Yarrowia lipolytica: one gene and its partner. The protein of the gene in region 1 purifies or fractionates together with the protein of each later gene. This does not show direct contact. Links are inferred from orthologs where the notes say so. Each region holds a gene or a part of one and is shown in the gene's direction. Other genes may lie near its edges.

Region 1 (7,767 bases):
CCCGTCTCCCTTGCCATTCTCATTCCAGCCCGAGCTTCCACCCCACAAGGTTTTGCTGTGTTATTCTGCTGGTGCCTCGACCCGGAGGCTGTGTTCCGGAGATTACCTGGGTAGGGGAGCCTGGGTGAAGGAAATATGGTGGTGTGGAGGAGGGAAAAAGACGTGCACGGGGCCGACAAGTGCTCGTGGAAGGTCAAACTCTGGCGTGGACCCTGAACCATGCCCCACAGGCGGAATATCTTAGCCTCTGGCTTGTAGCCACACAGGTGCCGTATCCTCCTTACAGTGAAATCTATATACAGTCGGTGAGAAGGGACATGTATACTACGATACGAGAGCCAAGCTGCAACCGACAATAGCTGATACCAAGCCCATTGCGGCTCTGAAGATGGCAAGATGGCTGTACCTGTCCACAAGGCCGTCCATTCCATGGCACCCTCCATTTAGTCCGAGTAATTCGAGCTTAGCACAGCAAGCTTTGCCTCCACTGGTCAGGTGGAAGAGGGCCTGATAACAGGAGGAAAACAAAAGCTGTTGGGCCAAAGTAAAAGCTCCAAAAGCCATGTCCATCGAATCGACGGGCCCTCGCCACGGCTATAATGACGTACCAAGCCAGCCGGGGACCCTGTCGTCCCGTTGTTGTCCCGTTATTGACCCGCCACTTATTCCCTCATTATCGCCATACTATACAATATAGGATCGTTGGTCGCCCCAGTGCGCCATTTATTAACCCACAGAAAGACACGTCGAAACGGGAAAACCCTCATTTTGGCCGACTGCTCTGCTCCCCAAACCTCTCTTGCCTCTTTCTCCCCCAATCTTTCCTTTTTTCGCCTCAACACACCTTGTGCTGTCTCTGAACCACATCCTCCAAAACACCCTACTGATGTCTGTCTTGGGATTGTCGCCTCGGAGATAAAACCGTAAAAAGTAAAAAATATAAAAATATATATAAAAACACACCTCAACGATACGCGCGGAATGAAATCCAAAGCCAAACAAGACCCATTAACGAGCCTATTATCGAACCCAGTGTTAATAATAGCACCATATAAGACTCCCGGAGCCATTGCTACAGGTACTCGGCCTGCCACGGCCCACCCCCTCCAATCAGCCCTGGCACCACCTGCCAAACGTCTGACAGCGTATTTCTGAAATATCATTTTTTTAGCTGCATGCCCCTGAAACGGAGCCCGATCAAGATCGAACCGACGCGCACTACGGTAGCTACAAGTAGCTAAAGCGACACGCCGCGGGCGGGCGCTGGAAGAGATGCATCACGTGATCAAAACACGCACCCCCAACCTAAACCGGATACACCCATGCAATCTGCAAAATGCGTTGCTCATGTGGAATATGCCTACATGCATATAGCCCGCGTTTTAGAGTTGGGTATGCACCTAGGTACCTGTGAGACATGCATAAAGTTGCATATTGACAGATGTCCACAGCGCTTTGTGCAATAGGGGTTGGAGTATGGTACTTGTAGGAGTAGTCAGTCCGTAGTTGTAGTCATCTCCAGTGGTGTGTTACAACGGGACCGTATTCTTCTCCCGTTTCCGTGCATGTCCCTGCAGCTTCCTCATTGCCAGCAACCAGACGCTGTTGAGTAGCTACATTCTCTGACACTCTAATTTCTCCACCCCTGGACTCATATCATGATCTGCGTTTGATATCTCATTCCCAAACACCGTTGGCTGAGGCGGCGCCCTGGTTTCGGCCACCTCGATCCAAGACCAGTCTCAAACACGCACAATACACGTCATCCTACACCCCTTGTCGTCCACATTCGCCCTGAGCAATGCTAGTGGTACAAGACTTGGCCCCTCCAAGCCATGTCTGGGACCTGTCTGAGCGGGTAAAAATAGCAAAATGTCTCCCGTTTACGTTTCTGGGATGATCCAAAGTCTACGCTAAGAGTAAATAAAGCAATTAAGCGGGCAGTAGGGCGGCGGCGGTGGCTTCGGACCTAGCCCTACTCCCTGGTGCTACTTGCACGTTTGAGCATACCCCATGCACCCCATATCCGCGTTTATCGCTACTTGTACGCTAGTGGCCATGACGTAAACATGTGGAGCGGCCTGCTTCTGGGCCCATTGTCCACGTACGCTTAGATTTCGTTTAGACATAGTCCTTTTTTCCGGCTAAACTAGCGCCTTTCTGCAAGCCTTGGTAGGCAATGGGTCACGCGCCGGGAGAACCATAGCACCAGAGAAACGAGTGTTCGCATTCGCACTCCACCGCCACCCTTGATTACCTTTACGCCGTTTTAATAGCAAGGGTTTAAAGATCCGGGGGAGCTTGGCGGGGAGTTGAGGAAAGGGTGGAAGGAGAGACGTTCATTTACCGCTAGTGATCCATGACGGCTTTTGATGCGGCTCATGGTGACAGTTGTGTTGGAGAGATAGAACGGGTCCGTGGAATACGGGTACCTGTACATGCATCCATATCGTGGATCGCGCTGCTTTTCGAACGTATCGTGGATATCACGTCGCTACTTGCAGTGCCAGCTCACGACCCCGAGTCCATCTTCAAGCATATAGGCTCCTTCGGTGGTTCAGATGGCCCTTCTTCAGATGATCCCCTCAGAGGCTGATGTGGCTGCAGTGTTGTTGCGGACACTGTTGCGGACACTGTTGCCCCGGCTTGATCCCTTTAGAGCTGGTAGACCCCTGTCAAGGGTCAGTCTTAGTGGGACTGGAAGGAGTATCAGTCTCACTGGTTAACTGTACTGGCTAGACCCCGGAAAGGGATGGCTGTGTGCTTGTGGTTCATTGGGTGCGGTGTGGTGTCTACAACTCGTGTTGCCAGACCTGGACAAGGGCATTTGTGAATGTGACGGTACTCGTAGGTTCACCAGAGATGGTGTCGAACGACACATGATGAGAGTGGAAGCTCCTTGGATGCCATCGACATCACGTGAACCTGTCTGATCGTCCATCGCTGGTTTGTAGGACGCGTTTGAAGGTTCCGACTTGACGTTGTTGGTATGATGCACGAGTACAGGCGATTGTAAGGTGGTCGAGCGTGTTTTAATGTACAGGTGGAAGTAATTGTACTTGTATCAGGGCCTCTTGCAGCTCGTCTTGTGTTGTTCGCATCAAATGACACTCGTCTTGTACAGTACAGTCTCCATGACTTGCTCCAGATTATGTATCCAAAACAGGGGTTGTATACTTGCAGAGTACAAGCACAGGCATACGTATGTACAAGCCTCTTTATATCTTTAAGAGTACAAGTAAACGTACTCGCACTTGTACTTGCACCGGCGAGATGTATGGTCGCAGAAAACCTGTCGGCAGCCCTCCGTCCTCCACATACGAACATGACTGACTTGCATCTTTCACCTGTTCAGCAAGTTTCATACTGCACTAGTCCAAATAGGTAAATCACCTTGGCCTCCTATTTGGGACAGGGTAAGGGCGTCCAGAAGAGGACACCAGTGAAATTACATAATACAAGCTGCAGTACTTGTCCGATACGACCTGTCTCGAAACAGCCGTTTGGAGCAGCGCATTTCTTGCCCGATCAATTCCCTGACCACTCTCACTCTTCCCCAACACGGTGCTTTTTCCCCATTCTGGTCACATGACTGACACGCTCCACCTAACCTTATCTCCAAAGACCACGACATACGCATCTCTCCTTCAGAGGAGTTTCGGAAGTCTAGCCCAATGAACAACAGCACTTTGCCCGAGTCGTTTCGAGACAAGCAGATTGGTGAGTATCACGTGACTAACCGACAATGATTCGCTGACTAACACAGCCGCGATCACGCGTGTTCTCTCTGGAGAAAATGGGAGTGCCAACAAAAGCCAGGCTTGGAAGGTGCTGGTCTTCGACAAGTTTGGCCGAGATGTGATTTCGTCGGTGATGCGAGTCAACGACCTGTTCCAGAACGGAGTCACCATCCACATGTTGCTGGATTCCGATCGGTACGCTATTGACGTTCCGGTGGTGTACTTTGTGCGACCTACATCCGACAACCTTCAAAAGATCACGCGAGACCTGCATTCCCAGCTCTACGAATCCGCGTCCGTCAACTTCGTGTCTCCTCTTCCCCGTCAGCTGCTGGAGACCTTTGCAGCCGACAACGTGGCCACAGCCTCTCAGATTACTCAGGTCTACGACCACTACCTCAACTACGTTGTTTCCGAGGCCAACCTCTTCTCTCTGGCCTTGCCTAACATCTACTCTGAGCTGGCATCCCCCAAGATGGACGAGGACTCGCTCAATGCCATCGTCGACCAGATTGTGTCTGGTCTGTTCTCTGTGGTTGTCACCCAGGGTGAAATTCCCATCATTCGATGTCCCAGAGGAAACGCCGCCGAGATGGTCGCCCAGAAACTCGACTCCAAGCTCAGAGACCACGTCAACAACCTCAAACTGACCACCAACCCTCTCTCGCGACCGGTGCTCATGATTCTTGACCGAAACATTGATCTCGCGTCCATGCTCCAGCACTCGTCCAACTACATGGGACTGGTTCACGACGTGTTTGAGTCCGAAAGAGGCCAGATCCGAATCGCCAAAGACAATGGCACCACCGAGTCGTACGATGTGGCGCCCTCCGACTTTTTCTGGAACCAAAACTCGCTTCTTTCTTTCCCCGAGGTGGCGGAGTCTATGGACAATGAAGTCAATAAGTACAAGGAGGAGTACAGCCAGATCACTGGAGGCGCCAACATCAACGATATGGACACAGATGCATCCCCCACGCATCTCAAGAAGGCTATCTCGGCCATCCCCAAACTCACGGCTCGAAAAGCCGTCATCGATATGCATATGAACATTGCCACTGCTCTGGTGGACCGAATCAAGAAGAGACAGCTGGATATTTTGTTTGAGGCCGAGGACGGGCTGGACAAGCAGGCTCTCTTGCCTCTGCTCAAGAACGAAGAGCTGTCTGGCACGGACAAGCTGAGAGCCTATATTTGTGTCTACCTATCCGGCACTCTCTCGGCTGCCGAACAGAAGGAGTACGAGGGTATTCTTAGCACACAGGGAGTGGACATGGCTGCGCTCAACTACGTCAAGCGGCTCAAGGACCTGTCCAAAATGATGGCGCTGAAGTCGTCAGCTGCTTCTGCACAGGAGCCCCAGACGTCGGAGCAATCGTTCCGAAACTTTGCCTCCAAGCTGTCGTCCGGCAAGATTGGCAACCTCATTTCCAACGTCAAGTCGTATCTGCCACAAAACAAGGATATGCCCGTGACCCGAATTGTGTCCGGCATTGTGTCTCCTTCCGAGTCTGGCGACATTACCGACGACTATTTATATTTCGACCCGTCGGTGCGTGGCTCCAGCACAAAGCCGCCCCGAAAACAGGCGTACAACGAGGCCATTGTGTTTGTGGTTGGAGGTGCCAACTACGCTGAGTACGCCAATCTGATGGACTACGGTGTTAAGGCAGGAAAAAAGGTGGTTTACGGAGGAACAGATGTGGTCAAACCCGATGTGTTTTTGGGAGAGCTGGCCTCACTCACCAAGTAGGAGCGCAAGTAGGAGCCAGAGAGATTGGCTAGGGGTTGTACTTTATGCCACTCCTTTGCACGTAATAATGTAATAGAAAGGATATACTATTGGATCTTGCAAGGGTGGATACTTGACCGTATCCCCCTTTACTCAAGAGGCGGATCTGGTTCACCGACCGAGCAAGGACTGTTGTATGTAAGTAGAGCTCCCATGATCACGCACTACTTGTACATTTTTGTACACATAGTTACCTACAGTTCGGCTACATCATAAAAAATACATTATAATGTCTTGCCATAGCCATAACAACAGCAACGGTGGGGGCAATATCAACCATTGTTCTCCGTAACAGCAATATCAACCATTGTTCTCCGTAACATCATTAATTCGGTCCAAACCACCGTTCTCGATGTCGTGCTTAGATGTAGTCTTTTAGCGCCACCCCTAGATGGTAGTCACGGATGTGGAGCAGCGATGGCTTAAGCAAAGATCAACTTGTGCTTGTGGTCTGGGGTTGGGCAAATGGCAAGCTCTGCCCCTAGCTCCAGTGCTAGGCCAAACAGATATCCAAATCCTTCTCTTTCAACACCACATAGTAATCCACATACTTTTCTCCCCCTGCATCTCTCTTCCAGCACTCTTCCACCGTTGAAATGCTATTCAGCAAGTTTCTCGCCTTGTTTCGTGTGGCAAACTCCTTGAACTTGGACAGGTACGCGTGTCTCTGAGAGGGCAGGATGTTAAGACCAGCGATGAACAGGGGGAAGCAAAGATTGCCCTCAACAGCCGAGCCCAACACAAGGTCCAAAAGACACGACAACTTGCGGCCCCAAACACGCATCTCCAGAGAAGTAGAAGGCAGTTTGAAGATGGTTCGTTTGAGATGAATCAAGGCGGTCAGCTGGTAAATTTCAAACAGGTGCTTATGCAAAGTACATTCCTCGTCACTGAGCGTCATAGTATCAGCCAGATTGGGTGTGAGAATACGAATCTGGTGCTCGAGACGCTGGGCAGTCTGCAGAATGTTAGCTTCGGTAGTGAGAGTCGAAGAAGTCATTTCTTCATTGCCACTCAATTCGTTGGCCAATTGAGACACCTCGGCAATCATCTGGTACGGCTCTCTGCAGATTCCCAGTAGTGGGTCGATACCCTGACCTCCCTGAAGCAGCTGTTCGTATTCTGCTCGACCAAAAAGAGGTCCTCGATGGTGAGAGCTACTAGCGACCAGGTCATGATAGGCAAAGTTTGTGGCTATCCAGCGGAGATTTTTGTCATTGAGAAACTTGGACAGACCGCCATAGTTGCGGATTATGGCCGCCGACATGTTGAGAAACTTTTTCCAGTTGCGTAGGTCGCCCTTACACACTTCAGCCGAGCAGCAGAGCAGCAAGGCCGCGATTGTGGAGTGGTCAAAAGTATTGTTTGTGATCTGGTTCTTGGTCAGGGTCACAGCCTTGTCGAGCGCGGCCATCCCTGTATCCTGAAGATCAGCCTTGCCTGAATGGAAAGAAGACCACGCTACAATGCTGTGTAGAACAGCAGCATTATGATGGGCCATGGGAAGAAAAATTTGAACAAAGTGGTTGTCTTGATCGGACGCCACACATATCATTCGCGACAGCTTTTCCTCGTAATACTGCAGCATCTGGTTCTCTTTGGTGCTGAGTCCTCCAAACAGAGAGGGCTCCAGAGACTCCAAGTTGAAGTCTGCGTCTATTTCAAACGGAGAGGGAATTCGAACCAACGAATTAACGTCCAGCTGGTTGATATCATCCTCTGTGAGATCGGTGATATCCACAATTGGGTGATCGACTGCGGGATCCACGTAGTTGGTGAAGTTGTAGGGATGGAAATCAAGCATGGGGACAGGGGCCACATCTGTAGAACCCGCTACAGGCGGTGGCGCATGGTCCACGGGAACAACCACAAACTGCTCGTGCGTGTCTGGCAGACCCTTTCGTTTCTTGTTCTTGTACTCTGTTCCAGGAGCTGGGTACACGCACACGATTCCGAGCCGTTTGCAGCACTCACAAACAGGCCGTGTTTCGTCGCAGCGCTTCTTGCGTTTGCGGCACGTATAGCAGCCGTCTCGGGACCGTTTTCGAGGCGGCTGGGCCGGAGGCGCCGCCGGCACCGGGTCCTTGGGGGCACTCATGGCGAAGGCGGTAAAACGGCGGTAAAACGGCGGTAAAATGGGGATGGAGAAATCGCGCTCGTTCAGCTGCAGACCACCCAGAATCTGACAATGCAAGCACGCTGGCGGTCGCGCGACGGAAGAAAAAGGGCCACTTC
Region 2 (6,091 bases), on another chromosome or scaffold:
ACGAGGCTTTCAGCCAGATGGACGCTTCACCCTCGCAGGCTCCTTCTCAGGCTCCCTCCGACACCCCCATCTCGTCTGTTCAGTCTGATTTCAATGAGTACCAACCTGAGGCTGCAGGTTTCACTCTGCCTCTCGCACGACCACATTCTTCCACCTCTTCTGTCCAGAACAACGCTCCTCTGTCCGTTCGAGGCGAGAACTTTAGCCGACCCGACTCTCCTGTGTCCAACATCACCCGTCTGAGCGACTCCACTGCCCCCATTCCCTTTGAAGGTTCTCGAGAGCACGATGAGGTGGTTAAGACAGCTAACTCTGGTCTGACCGGTGATACTATCGAAGCTCATGCTTCGCACCCCAGCATCGCCTCCAAGGAGACTGTTTCTGAGCCTCAGAAGCCGGACGTTGATGGATTGACCGCTCAGTTCAAGAGCACTGAGCCTTTCCCTGAACAGCCCTTTGTCCAGCCTTTTGGTTCCAACCCCGCTTCTCAGCCTGCTCCTTTCAACCCCCCTGCCCAGTTCACTAGCGAGCAGCCTCACCCCGAGACCAACGCTGCGCTCGAGCAGTTCACCGACAAGGCCGTTTCGGACCAGCCCGAGTTTGAGAAGGCCGCCGAGCCCTTCCCCGACCAGCCGTTTGCCCAGCCTTTTGGCCCTAACCCTACGCAGCTGGAGGAGGACTCTGGCAACGAGTCATTCGAGTTTGTGTCTGCTGACGAGAACGAGCACTCTATCAACGAGATGCCCCGTCGAGACAAGGGCAAGGCTGTGGTTGACGACGACTCTTCTGACGATGACGAGCTGGAGGAGATTGGGGTCAACCGGTACAAAAACTACCAGCCCAAGGAGGTGCACCATGACGATACTACGTCGGACGTGGTTACTCCCCAGCACGAGATTACTCAGCCTACTTTTGCCCCTGCTGTTGACACTGCTCCTGGTCACTTCCCCGACCAGACTGCTGTTCACGATACTGCCCCTGGTCATTTCCCTGAGCCAGCTGCCGCCCCAGCCTCTTCTCAGGGCTTTGCTGCTCCCACACAAGCATACCCCTCTGCTGCCGAGGAGAAGGCTGCTGCTGCTGCTGCGTCCAACAATGACAAGGAGCTGCCCCCCAACCCACCCACATATGACGAGAGCGAAGGCCCCGGCTCTCCTCATCATGGTGGCTCCACTAACGGCTTCTTCGGTAACCAGCATGCGCCTGCTGCATCTGCTAACGACGACTTTGACGACGCGTTTGCCGATCTTGAGGACACCAACGTGGAGGCCAACAACTCGATGGACCAGTCGCAGTACAGCACCGACTTTAACAATGCGTTTGACGACATGAACCAGGCTCCTGCGCCCGCTAATCCTCCTGGAAACGACGAGTGGGAGCAGATCTTCGCCGGTATGTCTTCCGGCCCTGCTCCAGTCAGTGCTCCCTCTGCTGCTCCCGTTAGAGCATCTTCTCCTCGATCTCGAGCTGTTCAGGAGCTGACCGGAATGGGTTTCTCTGAGGAGAAGGCCAAGCGGGCGCTGCAGAAGCACAAATACAACGTTGCCGAGGCCACTAATTACCTTTTGGACCAGAGCTGATCTCTTTTTATGATGATATGTAAGTAATTCATTAATGTTTAAATGTATTATGTGATTATAAAAAATGCAGTACTTTCACCGTAGCGAGTAGTGATGATGGTGGAATTTACTGTAGACTACAACTACGGTATGTACTCATACAATACTTTAAGTAGCTACCTGTAGCTTCTGGTTGCACGGCATGGACCACATTCTGTGAGACTGTGACCTTTATGGTCAGATAGTCCAATAATGCCGTATCTGCCGCTTCTATGTTACGTTTTGAAGCTGTACGTCATCTGTTGTTGCTAAACGTGGAACAAATAAATAATCTATTAGTACAGTTCACCCCTCCTATAATGCCTTCCAACTTTCGTACAGTTCTGCCCGCTCAGGCATCTCCTGAGTAGCAGCTGTGGCCTTTGAAATATCCGATGTCACCTTGTGCAACTTGTCGAGCGATGTATGGACTTGGTCGTTGTTTTCCTTGATCTTTTGTCGGTATTCATCATTCTCCTTCTTGACTGTCTGTGCCAGCTGTTTGAGCTTTTTGATTCGTGCGAGTTTAGTTTCCCGTAGATGGCTCTTGATGATTTGATCTGGCGTCAGTCTATCGACATGGATAGGCAGATCTGTGTTTGAATTCATTCTGAGTCTGGCGTCTTTGACCAATTGATCCAACTGGGCCAGTTTCTCCGGGAGATGTCGTTCATCGAAGATCGCGTCGAATTCCGTTTGTACTGAGTCCGTCCACGCCTTGCAGATCTGCTTAAGGGCTTCTCTGAGTGCCTCCTGACCAGCAGGAGTCTTTGCAATGCTTGGATAACACGCCGCCACTCGTTTGTAAGTGAGCGACTTGACTGCATGGGCCAGTGCTGTGGACGAGGATGTGACTAAACGTCTGTAACGTGCTGATTGGGGGATTGCACGTGTATTGGCTGTTGTGGTTGTTTGTCCCTCGGTCGCTTTTGTTGTTTGTGTTTCGTTCACTGTTGTTATTCGTCCTTCGCTCGTCGCTTGTGATTCACTGGCTTGTGTCTGCCTCTGTCCCTCCCCTGTGTGTGTCTTCATGGATGTCGCTTCCACTTCAGCTACACTTATCTCCATGGTTTCTGGGTCAGGTGTTGATGTAGACAGTGTCTCGGATTTCTGCGTCTCAGTCTCCTGAACAGATTGTGTCTTTTTCGTGTGTTGTGTCCCGTCTTTTTCCATGTCCATATCCTTCTCCGTGTCTTGTTGTTTTGACGTGTTTTATATCTGCCGCGTTTTATTTACCAGCCTTGCACAATCTGACGCGTTGCATTGAGCGACTTAATGTGCAACCCCACGACTCGAACCCCCAACGCCAAATGCTGTACAGTAGCTTCTTTCATCTCCAACCCAAACCCTGCCCCCGTGCAGTTAGCGTCTGTATGACGTACATACAAACCTCCACACCTAGATCGATCACCCCCATACCACGCAATGTCAGACGTCACCGCTCTCATTGCTAGAGCCGATAAAAAGATGACCTCCTCCGGAGGCATGTTCTCATTCATGAGCGGCGGCTCCTCGACCCGATTCGAAGAAGCAGCAGACCTCTACACCGAGGCCGCAAACCAGTACAAGTTACAGCGTAACGGAAAGCTTGCTGGAGAGTGCTTTGAGAAGGCTGCTGACGCACAACTACAGTCCGAGAGCAAGGACGAGGCCGCCAACTCGCTGCTCGAGGCTTACAAATCATACCGGTCCAACTCACCCCAGGAGGCCGCCAAGTGTCTGGAGAAGGCCATTCAGTTCTTCACTACACGTGGTCAGTTCCGACGAGGTGCCAATTACAAGATGGAGCTGGGAGAGCTGTACGAGAAGGAGCTGGAGGACATTCCCAAGGCCATGGAGGCCTACACAGATGCCGGAGACTGGTTTTCCGAGGACCGAGCAGAGACTCTATCTTCCAAGGCATACCTCAAGGTGGCGGAACTGTCTGCCGAGAACGACGATCTGTTCAAGGCCATTGAAATGTTCGAGATGGTTGCCCGACGAAACCTCAATTCCAACATCATGAAGTGGTCGCTCAAGGAGTATTTGTTCAAGGCTGGCCTGTGTCGAATTGCTGCGGATCCTGTTGCTTGTGGGGGCCCCATCAACGCTTACCTGGAGTGGGATCCTGCCTTTGGCCAGTCCCGAGAGTATGGTCTGCTGGTGGATATTTGTGAGGCTGTCAGCAACCAGAACCCCCAGCTGTTTGCTGATAAGGTGTACGACTTTGACCAATTCAGCAAGCTCGACAAATGGAAGACCAACCTGCTGCTCAAGATCAAGAACGCCATTACCGAGCAGGAGGACGATGAGGGACTGTTGTAGAGGTCCAAATTTAAAGTAATATTATTGTTTATACTGATGGTCGTGTGACAGAGTGAGAGAATACAGGTACTACGCAAGGACACGCAGAAGCGGATTGAACCACACGTTTCAGTCGCTTATTCCAGATCATCGCCATTATATGTCTTGTCAGCTGGTAATATGCCATGCGTGGCTAGGGCTTTCTTTGACCCTTTCATCTCTAAGAGTCCATTGGCGCATCTCAGAGTCCATTGACGCGTCTCAAACATTTTATATTACCAATTGAAACGCTCAAGGTACTCTCATGGTAACTAGGACATGATTATGATCAATCTGATATATTGAAAGTACCCATAACCTTCCTTACAAGTACTTGTAATATATATCCAACTTGTACAGTAGTCTTGTGATTCTGGCTTGAACCAACTTCATATCCCATGAACCGAACCCTACACTCATTAAGATTCTGGCTGCCTCGGCATGAGGGGTCATTGGCGACTCTCAATGTGCTCAAGTGGGTCTTTGGTCGTGTGGCTGGAGGGAAAAAAGGGTTCCGACCCACATCTAGGCGTACATTTACACTTGTACAAGTACAAGTACTGTACTGTACTTGTAGTTAACTGGTCAAAAGTGCGACTTCGTGAAGCTCCGTATTACGATTCCTAAATTGGATATGTATGTTGGAGGCTTGTACATTCTTGTACAGTAGACAGAAGGGGATGACATGAAATAAGGGACAAGAATGTCTAAACCATCATAACCGGACGACCACAAGTAAACCCTACCAAAGACCATCAATAACAGCAGCATATCTTGCAACAGCTCTTGGAAGGTGTGACTTGAGAGTGTCACACCAATTTAACTAAATCTAACTAAATCCCTAACCTACTAATAACTAACGTTAATAAGCACCAGACCTCATTCAAACTCTGTTTCGTATCGGATGAGTCCAACGTTCAGGGACCAAAACAAGCAAATGGGCAGGTGGTGGAAAAGAACGAGATTGGACCCAAATCAGGTCTCCCCAAAAAACAAAAACAAAAAAAACGCCAGCAAAGAAGAGCAATCTAATGTGCATTGACCAACATGAAACACTCCCTGCGCAAATAGTCATCTCACATAAGCCGCACCTGTGACTATTTGGACACTTTCACCTGGTGGCTCATTTTAGCTCTGCAAAATTTCCATATGCATGGTGCAAGCTACTTCTACTCATGCCTAACGTGTAGCTGGGGATTGTACTTGCCAGATGCTCCAGATGGGTCTAAAACTGCCCGCTCCTTCTTCTTACGACAAGTAGATTGCTAGCTCCTGGGAACAACCCGCCGCTCCGACAGCCTACATACACATACGTGGCGGGGGTGCATCGAACCGGGGTAGTACGCAGTTGAGCTGTATCGGGAGAGTCCAGCATATAGGAGAGTAACAACTGCTTCTTCTGGGGGGGAGTGCAAGTGAGGATCTGTCAATAACACATTCCATGACCCTGTTGAAGCATTCCCACTCTCTCTTATGCCCCACTTCTCGTATCTGATCGCCTCTTAAAGTTCAATGTGTTGCCGAGAATCCTTGATTACTGGAAGAGAAGCACTTCAACAGAGCTTAGATCACGTAGGAATCATTGTCTCCACGCATCATGAAAATGACGCGAGTACAGTACTGTACTCGTGTATAAAATTTCCGGATTCCGGCCCTTCTTTCCCACTATCGTACTTGGACCACCGCAAACATATTTTAGTCACAGTGCATGGGCCTCGCTCACCAGCCGACAAGACTGACGCTCCTCCAAAAACATACTCTGAGTCATAGGTCTATCCTTATCTCTGATAGCAGCGAATGGGTGTGGGAGAGTCAAATACCGTTCTAGCTGGAGTCTATAATCAACGAGGCTGACGGGTCCGACTGGTGGATTTCGAGGTGTAGAATCGACTGGCCGGGTAAAAATAATCTCTTCCCCCTTGTAGATGGGTGTATGCACATTTTTTCCCATTGGAAACTGCTGCTCGCTTTTTCCTTCCCCAGGCCCAAGTGTCCCGATTATTCCGTCTGCACGAATTTTAAGCTCGGGGTACAAGTAAAAGATTTTGATTTGGAGAGTTGAAAAAAAAATAAAGGTACTTTAACTTGCACCTCGCACCTTCACACATCACCAACTACCATCCCGACAATGATAGCGCGATCGCTGTTGCGACTGGCCAAGCCGCAATTGC

The links.
Region 2: the proteins of YALI1_D25851g (region 1) and YALI1_C32975g purify together in Saccharomyces cerevisiae (affinity purification with mass spectrometry; 4 studies listed by BioGRID, with this or other methods). This does not show direct contact. The link is inferred for Yarrowia lipolytica from reciprocal best matches to the Saccharomyces cerevisiae genes SLY1 and SEC17.

The regions. Positions count from the first base shown.
Region 1 is NC_090773.1:2,581,127-2,588,893, reverse strand, and holds YALI1_D25851g (uncharacterized protein), read left to right. Parts: upstream 1-3,674; coding exon 3,675-3,720; intron 3,721-3,766; coding exon 3,767-5,493; downstream 5,494-7,767. Other genes in the region: YALI1_D25885g (uncharacterized protein), read right to left, coding at 1-443; YALI1_D25877g (uncharacterized protein), read right to left, coding at 663-1,163; YALI1_D25856g (uncharacterized protein), read right to left, coding at 2,854-3,327; YALI1_D25831g (uncharacterized protein), read left to right, coding at 5,686-5,721, 5,788-5,958; YALI1_D25813g (uncharacterized protein), read right to left, coding at 6,026-7,630. UniProt on the Saccharomyces cerevisiae protein: Able to suppress the functional loss of YPT1. SLY1 is essential for cell viability. May interact indirectly, or directly with YPT1.
Region 2 is NC_090772.1:3,294,500-3,300,590, forward strand, and holds YALI1_C32975g (uncharacterized protein), read left to right. Parts: upstream 1-3,023; coding exon 3,024-3,902; downstream 3,903-6,091. Other genes in the region: YALI1_C32921g (uncharacterized protein), read left to right, coding at 1-1,580; YALI1_C32972g (uncharacterized protein), read right to left, coding at 1,914-2,777; YALI1_C33005g (uncharacterized protein), read left to right, coding at 6,049-6,091. UniProt on the Saccharomyces cerevisiae protein: SNARE complex protein that binds to cis-SNARE complexes on membranes and is required for vesicular transport between the endoplasmic reticulum and the Golgi apparatus and for homotypic vacuole fusion.